Linked DNA regions of Coturnix japonica. The protein of the gene in region 1 purifies or fractionates together with the protein of each later gene. This does not show direct contact. Links are inferred from orthologs where the notes say so. Each region holds a gene or a part of one and is shown on either strand. Other genes may lie near its edges.

Evidence for each region.
Region 2: the proteins of AATF (region 1) and NOL10 purify together in Homo sapiens (affinity purification with mass spectrometry; 4 studies listed by BioGRID and IntAct, counting the BioPlex papers as one, with this or other methods). This does not show direct contact. The link is inferred for Coturnix japonica from reciprocal best matches to the Homo sapiens genes AATF and NOL10.

The regions. Positions count from the first base shown.
Region 1 is NC_029534.1:7,138,956-7,143,299, reverse strand, and holds the start of AATF (protein AATF), read right to left. Parts: upstream 3,107-4,344; 5' UTR 3,056-3,106; coding exon 2,971-3,055; intron 2,728-2,970; coding exon 2,539-2,727; intron 1,974-2,538; coding exon 1,566-1,973; intron 1,054-1,565; coding exon 916-1,053; intron 1-915. UniProt on the Homo sapiens protein: Part of the small subunit (SSU) processome, first precursor of the small eukaryotic ribosomal subunit.
Region 2 is NC_029518.1:88,402,071-88,406,472, forward strand, and holds the start of NOL10 (nucleolar protein 10), read right to left. Parts: upstream 2,847-4,402; 5' UTR 2,779-2,846; coding exon 2,713-2,778; intron 2,303-2,712; coding exon 2,257-2,302; intron 1,197-2,256; coding exon 1,098-1,196; intron 267-1,097; coding exon 189-266; intron 1-188.

The DNA.
Region 1 (4,344 bases):
AGTTCGCCTTCTTTTCCTTAATCACTTCATTTAAAGCAGCTGAGCTAACTTTAAAACAAGGAGTCTCACCTGCTATAACTCCAAATAAGCTGATTAGCTACATGCTCAGGTCAGGTGTGAGCTGGAAGATAACAGTCAAACACTGGCTTAGGGGTAAGGCCCACAGTCAGGTTGGATCATGGCAGAAGTTCTTGATGTAGTTCTAAGGTAACTCATGGCAGCCTAAGTCAAAGTTTCTCAAACACACAGGTATCAGTTCTGCACATACAAACCGAAGCATTAATAAATTAAACAGATGAAGTTGAGCACCTTGTGTTTATCAGCCGGAGCACGCAGATTTTACTTACCATGTTCAAGAATCTACTACAAGTCTCATCAGATCAGTATCATTAACAACGATCCTAAAAACATCTGAAGCAGCTCCAAACTGAAGTGATATTTGCTGTTGCTTTGACAGCACAGGCCCTTCTCTTTTGTGCTGCATTACTCCTGATTAGGGCAAATCATTGCAATCACAGACCCAGCACAGAACTGCTATCTACACAGTGTCTCAGGACAAAGAAGCATCCCAGCTCTACACCAAGCAGCAATAACCAAGCCATTTACTTTTAAGAACCAGCACAGAAGAGATAAATGAACTTCAATACCCACATGAAGCAGAAACAGCAGCAGGACCCAAGCTGAGGCTCACCAACATCACATAAGAGACAACACAGGCTGTCGGAGATCAGTTAGACATAGACAGACATCAGCAGTTCCCATACACTCATTAATGATTAAGGCAATATAAACTAACAGCTACAAACACACGTGGCTCAAAGCCCTCACTTTCCTATTAATGCTCTCTCACACATATAAAAAACACACCGGCTACAGCAGACTCTATGCAAAGTAAGAAGTTAAAAGAATTCTTACAGCTCTCCACAGCATTGTCGAATTCCTGTCCACCTTCCTTTCTGAAGAGGGGGAAAGTATCTGGCTGAGGAAGCCGGTTGGCTATTACAAGTGCCTTCTGCATCTTGATTCTGCCTTCCAAGATGTGATCCCACAGTGCTTCGTAAGAGAAAGGGGGGAAAAAAGAAGTTATTTCACAAGCCAAAGCACCTGCTCCTTCCCCATCCTATCTGTGATCCTGACTGCAACCCTGAGAACCACAAAAACTCCGTTGTCTTCACTGGTTAGAATGGACTTGTAAATGGACAGTGGTAACTTGACTGAATAGACTGGAAGAAACTTCAGCATTTGAAGAACGATAGCAGATAGCACCACAGCACAGAACTAACAGTGTAAAGTCCCCCTTCCCACCCAAACTACAAGTACATTCAGTGTGGGTTCAATTAAGCCAGCAGAGAAGTATACTCCATAATATGAGATTTTGTAGGAGCGGTGATATCAATGTGCATAGCACGTTTAGTGCAACATCTGCAAACAACACAGGCTGCTGTAGCTTGCACACGCACTGCACCAACAGCAAGTTAAAATGCTGCAGTGTCTCCTGTCACGGGCAGCGTCTGTAGTGTCAGCAAGGTGAATCTCATCAAAACACACAGCAAACATGCACTAACCCAGCTGATTCTTCACCGCTTTTCCTTTTTCCACTTCATCGCTCGCTTGTCCTTTGGAGAATGTCATCACCCCCCCATCATCCTCATTGTCAGTGGCGTCTTTTACGTGGTCATGGTTTTCCCCCTCGTATTTCTCATCATCGCTTCCTTCTTCCATGCTGGCATCATCTTCATCTTCTCCATCACTGCTCCCAACATCATCCATCCCCTCTGCAAATTTCTCAAAGTCTGTGACATTCTGGAAACTGAACTTTGGTGCTTTGGCAGAGGAATCCCTCCCATCATCTTCCAGGTTATCCTCCTGCTCACTGCCAGCACTGCTGGGTTGCTCCTCTGTTTTACTGCCCAAACTGCCATTGTCTTCTGAATCTTCACTGCCGCTGTACCACTCATCTAAGGCTTCTGCAGCTATTAATTCAAAGAGAAAAACATCTGTCACTCTGCCGTATGCAACAACGATGGGTACTGATCTGAGCACTAAACTTGGTTTAATTTTTCATGTTGACCAATTAATGATAAATAAGTAAATGAGTCTATACCCAGGAAAAGATCTTAGTTCTTATCTTCTATAACAATAATTAGTGACATGGTAATCAAACGGGTGTTCATAATTTGCTTTATGTATCTGTCTTTAAAATGAGATGTGCTTGCAGTCATCGAGATATATTGGCCTTAAAGTGACAACTACTTCTTTCCCTTCACACAGCATTCAGCCTCACCTCAAGGTTATTCCCAGCCCCTCCTCCTGAAGAAGGAGACCTCAATGGGGGATTTCCTTTCCCTTCAGATCAAAAAACATGGCCTGAATTTCAAGAAGGCACCTCAAAAAGACGCCCAACTTATTTCTACCTGTTTATAACCCCCCACCGTGGACTTAAAGCTTCTCATCTCAGTTGAGACAGCCCTAATTTGGTCTAGCATGCCAAAACTATAAGTATCCCAACTAAAAGCATAAAGAACTAAGATTCCTTACCAGATCCTTCTTCAGACAGCGCATCTCCCCACAGCTCTTCCCTCAAGGCTTTCCGAGATGTCGCTTTCCCACTGTACCTTTTATCAGCTTCTAAGAGGGCGGCCGAAGCGTTTCTCCGTATCTTACCAACAGGTAAAACTTCATCTGCAGCATCATCCTCAAACCTGTCGATCACTTTAGCAACTGTGGCTGTAGGAAAGGAAACAAATACATAAACAGAACTGAATTTCAGGCCAGAAATCGCCGCTTCTCCCACCCTCCCGCACACCTCAGGCCGCAGCTTCTCATTAGGGCCCACCCGGTACCGTGCCCCCCCCCCACTCTCACGGCGGCGGCTCCACGTGCAGCCTCGGCCCGCAGCCCAGTAGCCTCCCCCATCCTACCCCAGGCCGCCCCCCGCCCACACGGAGCCCTTCCCCGACCCCTTCTCACCTTCCTCCGCGTCATCCTCGGGGTCTCGCAGGTCGGGCCGGGGATTGAGCAGCTCCTCCAGCTGCTGCGCTAAGGGCGCCGCCATCTTGCCGAGCGGAGGGGGCGGGGCCTGGCGGCGCGCGGGGCCCAGAGGGGGCGTGGCCTAAAGTGGGCGGGGCCTCATAGTGGGCGTGGTCTCAATTGGGGGCGTGGTCTCCGTCGAGCCGTGTCCGCCCCCTCTCGTTCTTTGTCCGCGTTAAAGTACGCGGTGGTTCGAGCGGAAACAACCGCCATAAAAGAACCGAAATCCACCATCCGAACCCCCCCCCCCCCCCCCCCGGCACCGGGCTGACCCGCCTCCATCGCTACTGTCATGAGAATTCATATGTGCTGAGTGCTGGAAGGCACGAGAATGATGGGCTCTTACAGCACAGCTGTCCTATATAACTCAATATATATCTATATATCTACTACTTTTCTTCCCCCCTCCACCCCCAGTCTGCACACCCCTGCCATGTGAGCAGTGGGGGCTGTAGGGCACTGCCCACACCTGGCACGGCTCTGCTGCATCCAGCACCTGCAGCTTCGTGTGGGACCCCAGCAAAGCGATGTGGGATAAGTGACCCCCTCCCAGCCCCCAAACACAACGTATCACCTGGAAATGGTGGCTGGGAATAGAGGGCGGTGCATCTCTTGTGGGCAGTGAGAACGGACCCAGGTCGGCACCTCAAACGTGAGCTGTAGGTGGGGGCTTAAAGCTCCCACCCCTCCAGGAGCGGCCCCAGGAGGTCTATTGGGACCCCTTGTTTGGGATGGCACCGGCAGGTTTGTGATGCTGCAAAGTTCAACTGCATCGAGCAGGCGGTTCGTTCATCCCCTTCCTGCCAGCACACGGCTCGCCCTCACCACTTCTCTGCTTCTGAATGTTACAAAGATTAATCCCGACATGCATTCTAATTAGAGCACGGGAAGGCTCAGGCCAAGCCCGGCGCTTCTCCGCGGCTCCGGGATCCAGGTTGGTTCCCCCGAAGCAGGAGCGTTCAGTGCAGCCGCTCGTCCTACAGAGGGCAGAGGAATATCATTAATTACGGGCCCGGCGGCTCCCGCTCCCTGCCGGCCCGCACGGCACCCGCAGGAGGAGCCCGGGGGGCACTTCGCCCCTTTTCCCCCCTCTCCGGTGCCCTTCGGCTCCTTAGGAACCCGTGCATTACCGTCTGCTGCTGCGAGGACTGCATCTCTAGTTATATAGAAACTCACTGGAAACACACGTTATCATCACAAACAAAACCCCTGGATTTTATGCAGTCAAGTATTTACGGTTCCATTTCAACTTTATTTTGTATTTATTTTCTCGTGGTCTGAGTGACAGCTCTGATTCTCTGCATTATATTTGAG
Region 2 (4,402 bases), on another chromosome or scaffold:
AAAACACAAGAACTTATTTCAGTAACAACTGAGCAACCACAGAGCACTCTCCTACCCCACTGCTTCACAGTGGGAAGAGAACAGAAGGGAGAACTGCCTGCTATCACGCACTCACACAGCACTCCCCAGAAAGAGCAGCAACTGTAGACAGAAGATTTCTCTTACTAACAGCCACAGCTTATACTAACCTTCAGAATCTAAGCACCTTTCAAATTTCTGGGATAACTGATAAGTATCGTAACAGCGGATCCTTGGTTTGTAAGTTCCTGAAAGAAGAATTTGATTTTTAATAAAAGCGTTAAACAAAAAGGTAACATTAACCCTTTTATAAAAAATATATGATGTTTTACGTATATATTCTTCACTACGTCTATGTTTCTGTGAACGAAAAAGAGGCCTCTTAGTAACAGAACTTAACATTACCTTCCAGTAAGACTGAAAGACCAAGCCTCGTGACATTAGGGCTACTGAAGTAATCATGTTAGGATCTCACTCTAACAGTTAACAGTTACAAAATGTAGCATTATCCTCTATCCTTAAAAAAAAACACTCAGTGATACTCAATAGTCATTTAAAGGAAGTTTGTACCAGAAGGGGTTTATACTAGACATAAGAAGGAACTTTATCTCTCAGAGAGTGGTCAGGCACTGGAATGGCTGCCCAGGGAGGTGGTGGAGTTGCCATCCCTGGCAGTGTTCAAGAGGTATCTAGATGAGGAGCTACAAGATGTGGTTTAATGATTTGCTGTAGCTACAGTAATGGGAGGATGGTTGGACTAAATGATCTTGTAGGTCCTTTCCAACCTTGTCATTCTATGATTCTACGATTTATATTCTATGAACATACTATAAAAACAAACAAGTTGTTGTTTTCATAAGATTGGTATTCTTCTAATACAGCTGAAAATTAAGCGTTTCTCAACCTAAGTACTCAAACACTCATTGCATCACATCTTAAGAGTAGGATTCCACAATTACATTCAATGCTTCATTAAATAAACAAAACTAAAAACCCTTTATCTTCTACCTGTCATATTCTGTGATAAAACATTATTAGTACTTTGGCCTCTGCTACCACGGGATCCTTAGTTAACTCACCAACTGCCATAATATACTGTCCATCTCTTGATACCTTAATCTTGGTGCTAATTGTGGGCATTTCAAAGTCTTGAATAAGTTCAATTCTTCTACGGATATCTACAAAGGAAAAAGAAATACATATAAAGTCAGATTATTTGTAAAGCTAGTACTATTATCAATCCAATAATGAAATCATTTCTTATATGTTGAGTTTCTTGTATGTTTATTTCTTGTATGTTGAGTTCACTGAATAAAAATGAATATTTGTTAAGATACATCTTTGTCTTTTACATAGGCCAGGAGAGCAATGCAGTACACTAACACTGAGATGCCAGCTATCACCATACCAAATAGATGTCTATAATGAGGTGCTAACCATGTGACAAATTATACCTCACATTCACAAAACAGTCACACATTCTACACAACAAAGATATACAATACATTCCATCACGCTGTTACCTCCATGAATATTTTTTTAGTTGGCTGCTTTACACAGTGCTCATGATGGTATGTAAACATCTCCTTTGATATTGCAAATTTAGAGTAAAATTTAAAGGTTGAGGGAACTGGGCTTGTTTAGCTTGGAGAAAGCTCCAGGGAGACCTCATTGTGGCCTTCTAGTACTTGAAGGGAGCATATAAACACAAGAGGGAATGACTGCTTATGAAGGTGGACAGTGATATGACAGTGGGGAATGGTTTGAAACTGAGACAGGGGAGGGTTAGGTTGGATATTAGGAGGAAGTTTTTCACTCAGAGGGTTGTGATGCACTGGAACAGGTTGCCCAGGGAGGCTGTGGATGCCCCATCCCTGGAGGCATTCAAGGCCAGGCTGGATGTGGCTCTGGACAGCCTGGTCTGGTGGTTGGCAACCCTGCACATGGCACGGGGCTTGAAACTGGATGATCATTGTGGTCCTTTTCAACCCAAGCCATTCTATGATGATGATGACACGATAAAATCACAGAGCTGCCCTCTATGCTGAGCTTAATACATACACAGGAGTCTACAGCTAGATTTGATCATAAAACATTTGTGGGATGCATCCACCACACTTGTATTTATTAAAATAAGTTGTGCACGATTTCCTTGAGTCAGCAAACTGCCTACTCCTGGATTAGCACATCAGATGTGTACAGCCTTGTTCTGCAGAGGGCTGCGATGTGAAAACTCACCCACATCTTTCTTCTGCAGTGCTCTTTTCTTCCTGTCTGAGAGCCACTGTAAGGAAATACAGGCATCAGTATCCACATTATAGCACATGAGTAGAATCAGAGAACTGTTATAGTTTAGGATCTGCCTGAAAGATCACTTCTTTCTTCTTAATTACATTAAAAATCCCAGTAGTAAGAATAATCATCCCACTTTTCAGTATCTAAAGGGAGCTCATAAACTGCTGGGAGGCAATTCTTTACTGAGCGGACCCTGGGCAGCCTGATCTGCTGGGGGAACCCAGCCCACAGCAGGAGGGTTGGGATGGAGGGGCTCTGAGGACCCTTCCAACCCAAACGTGATGAGATTCAACGAGAAAAGAAGTAGAGAATCAGTGTTCGCAGAGCGGGCTGCGGAGAAGCCCACACGTCAGTCCCGCCCCCCCTCAAGGCTCCGTGCCGCTCGGGCTGCCCCCTCACCTCCGGGAGGCTCCTGCCGGCGCTCAGGCTGTAGATCTTCACCTCGTTGAGGCTGGAGACCTGCATGGCGATCCCACACACCTCTTCCGGGCCGTAGGGGAAGCGGAAAGCCGTGCTGGGCTCCGACCCGGCAGCACTCCGTAGTGGATGGGCGGTGCTGCTGGCTGAGCTTCCCGTTCCCGGCCGGCTCTGAAAGTGGGCAGGCACCAGGCTGGGGGGTTAGGAGGAAAACAATATATCCAACCTGAACCTCTCCTGGTGCAACTTGAAGCTATTACCTCTCATCCTATTTCTGTCACCTGAAAGGTGAGGCCAAATCCACCTCACCACAACCTCCGTTCAGGTGATTGTAGAGAGCGATGTTTCCCCTCAGCCACCTCCAGACTTTACAATCCCAGTTCCCTCAGCTGCTCTCCATAAGATTTATGCTCCAGTGTCTTCACAGCTTTGTTGCCCATTCTCTGTGCACTCTCTGGGGCCTCCATGTCTTTCTTGATGCTTTTAATTATGTATTTCAGCAAATATAATACCAATATCACCACTTCCCGCTTTGCGTTAGAATTGAGACCATAGCTGAGACCAGAACACCTAAATGTAGGTGTCTACATGGGTACGATATATCAAAGCTCCCATTTCAGGGAGCTAAGGCTTCACTCACCTAAATGTAGATTGTCTGGTGGCATTTGAGCTGCCTCGTGGTATCCAGGACACCTAGATGGGGTGACACAAGACCTGTGGAAAACCCATGTGCTATGTGGCGTGAGCTGGAAGACATCTCAAATGGCACTAGAAGCTCAGGCAGCTGAATTGCATACCTAGTTAATCCCAGTAATGAAGCCTGAGGAGCAGTGTGGCACAGTATCCACCTGGTGTCTACTTCGGGGTGAATTCAATCTGTTTCTAAGTTCTACCAACTCATTCCTAAGACTGTCGCTAGGTGTTAACAGACATACAAAGGCTGAATCCATTTGCCCACATATTAGGTGCCTCTTGCAGTTCAGGACTTCTTAAGGAATCCCAGACATCCTCCCCAATTGTTTGATATGACACAAGGACACCTCAACAAGGTCAGGAGGACTGAAACAATGAAAAATTCCCAGAGGTTTAAAACCCATGAAGTTCTGAAATACTGAGGAGATACATGACTTTGGGTGAGGAAGGATTCCTGATCCCTTCTTCAGTACTCTAGGTATATTTCAGTGACCATACAGCAGACAAAAAGGAATAAAATACCTCTGTCTACAAGTCTGAATCTGAGTGATGTAACTGAAGCTCTGACAAAGCTTTTTGCTTTATATGTGCCCCAAATATCTGTTACATGCAATAGTAACACTTTTAGGCTTTCAGTTCAGGTGAATAGAGTTGGGCGGTTAGGTGTATTGACTTCAAATAAGAGTGATAAAGAACATTTTCAACAAGGAGCACATAGTTTTGCCTGCTTTTCCTCGTTTTATAGCATGAAAATTTGCTATTGATACAGTGCTTTGAAACAACATGATGGTAAGCAAAATGGGGGTAATCTTTACTTGTTTTTATGGTACTAAACAACGTCCATTCATAGACACACACACACATGCAGCTAAGGAATTCTAGCAGAGATATATTGTATAGAACCTATAATGTATAGAACCACAGAATGGCTTGGATTGGAAGGGACCTTAAGGATCATCATTAGCCATGATCAGGTCAT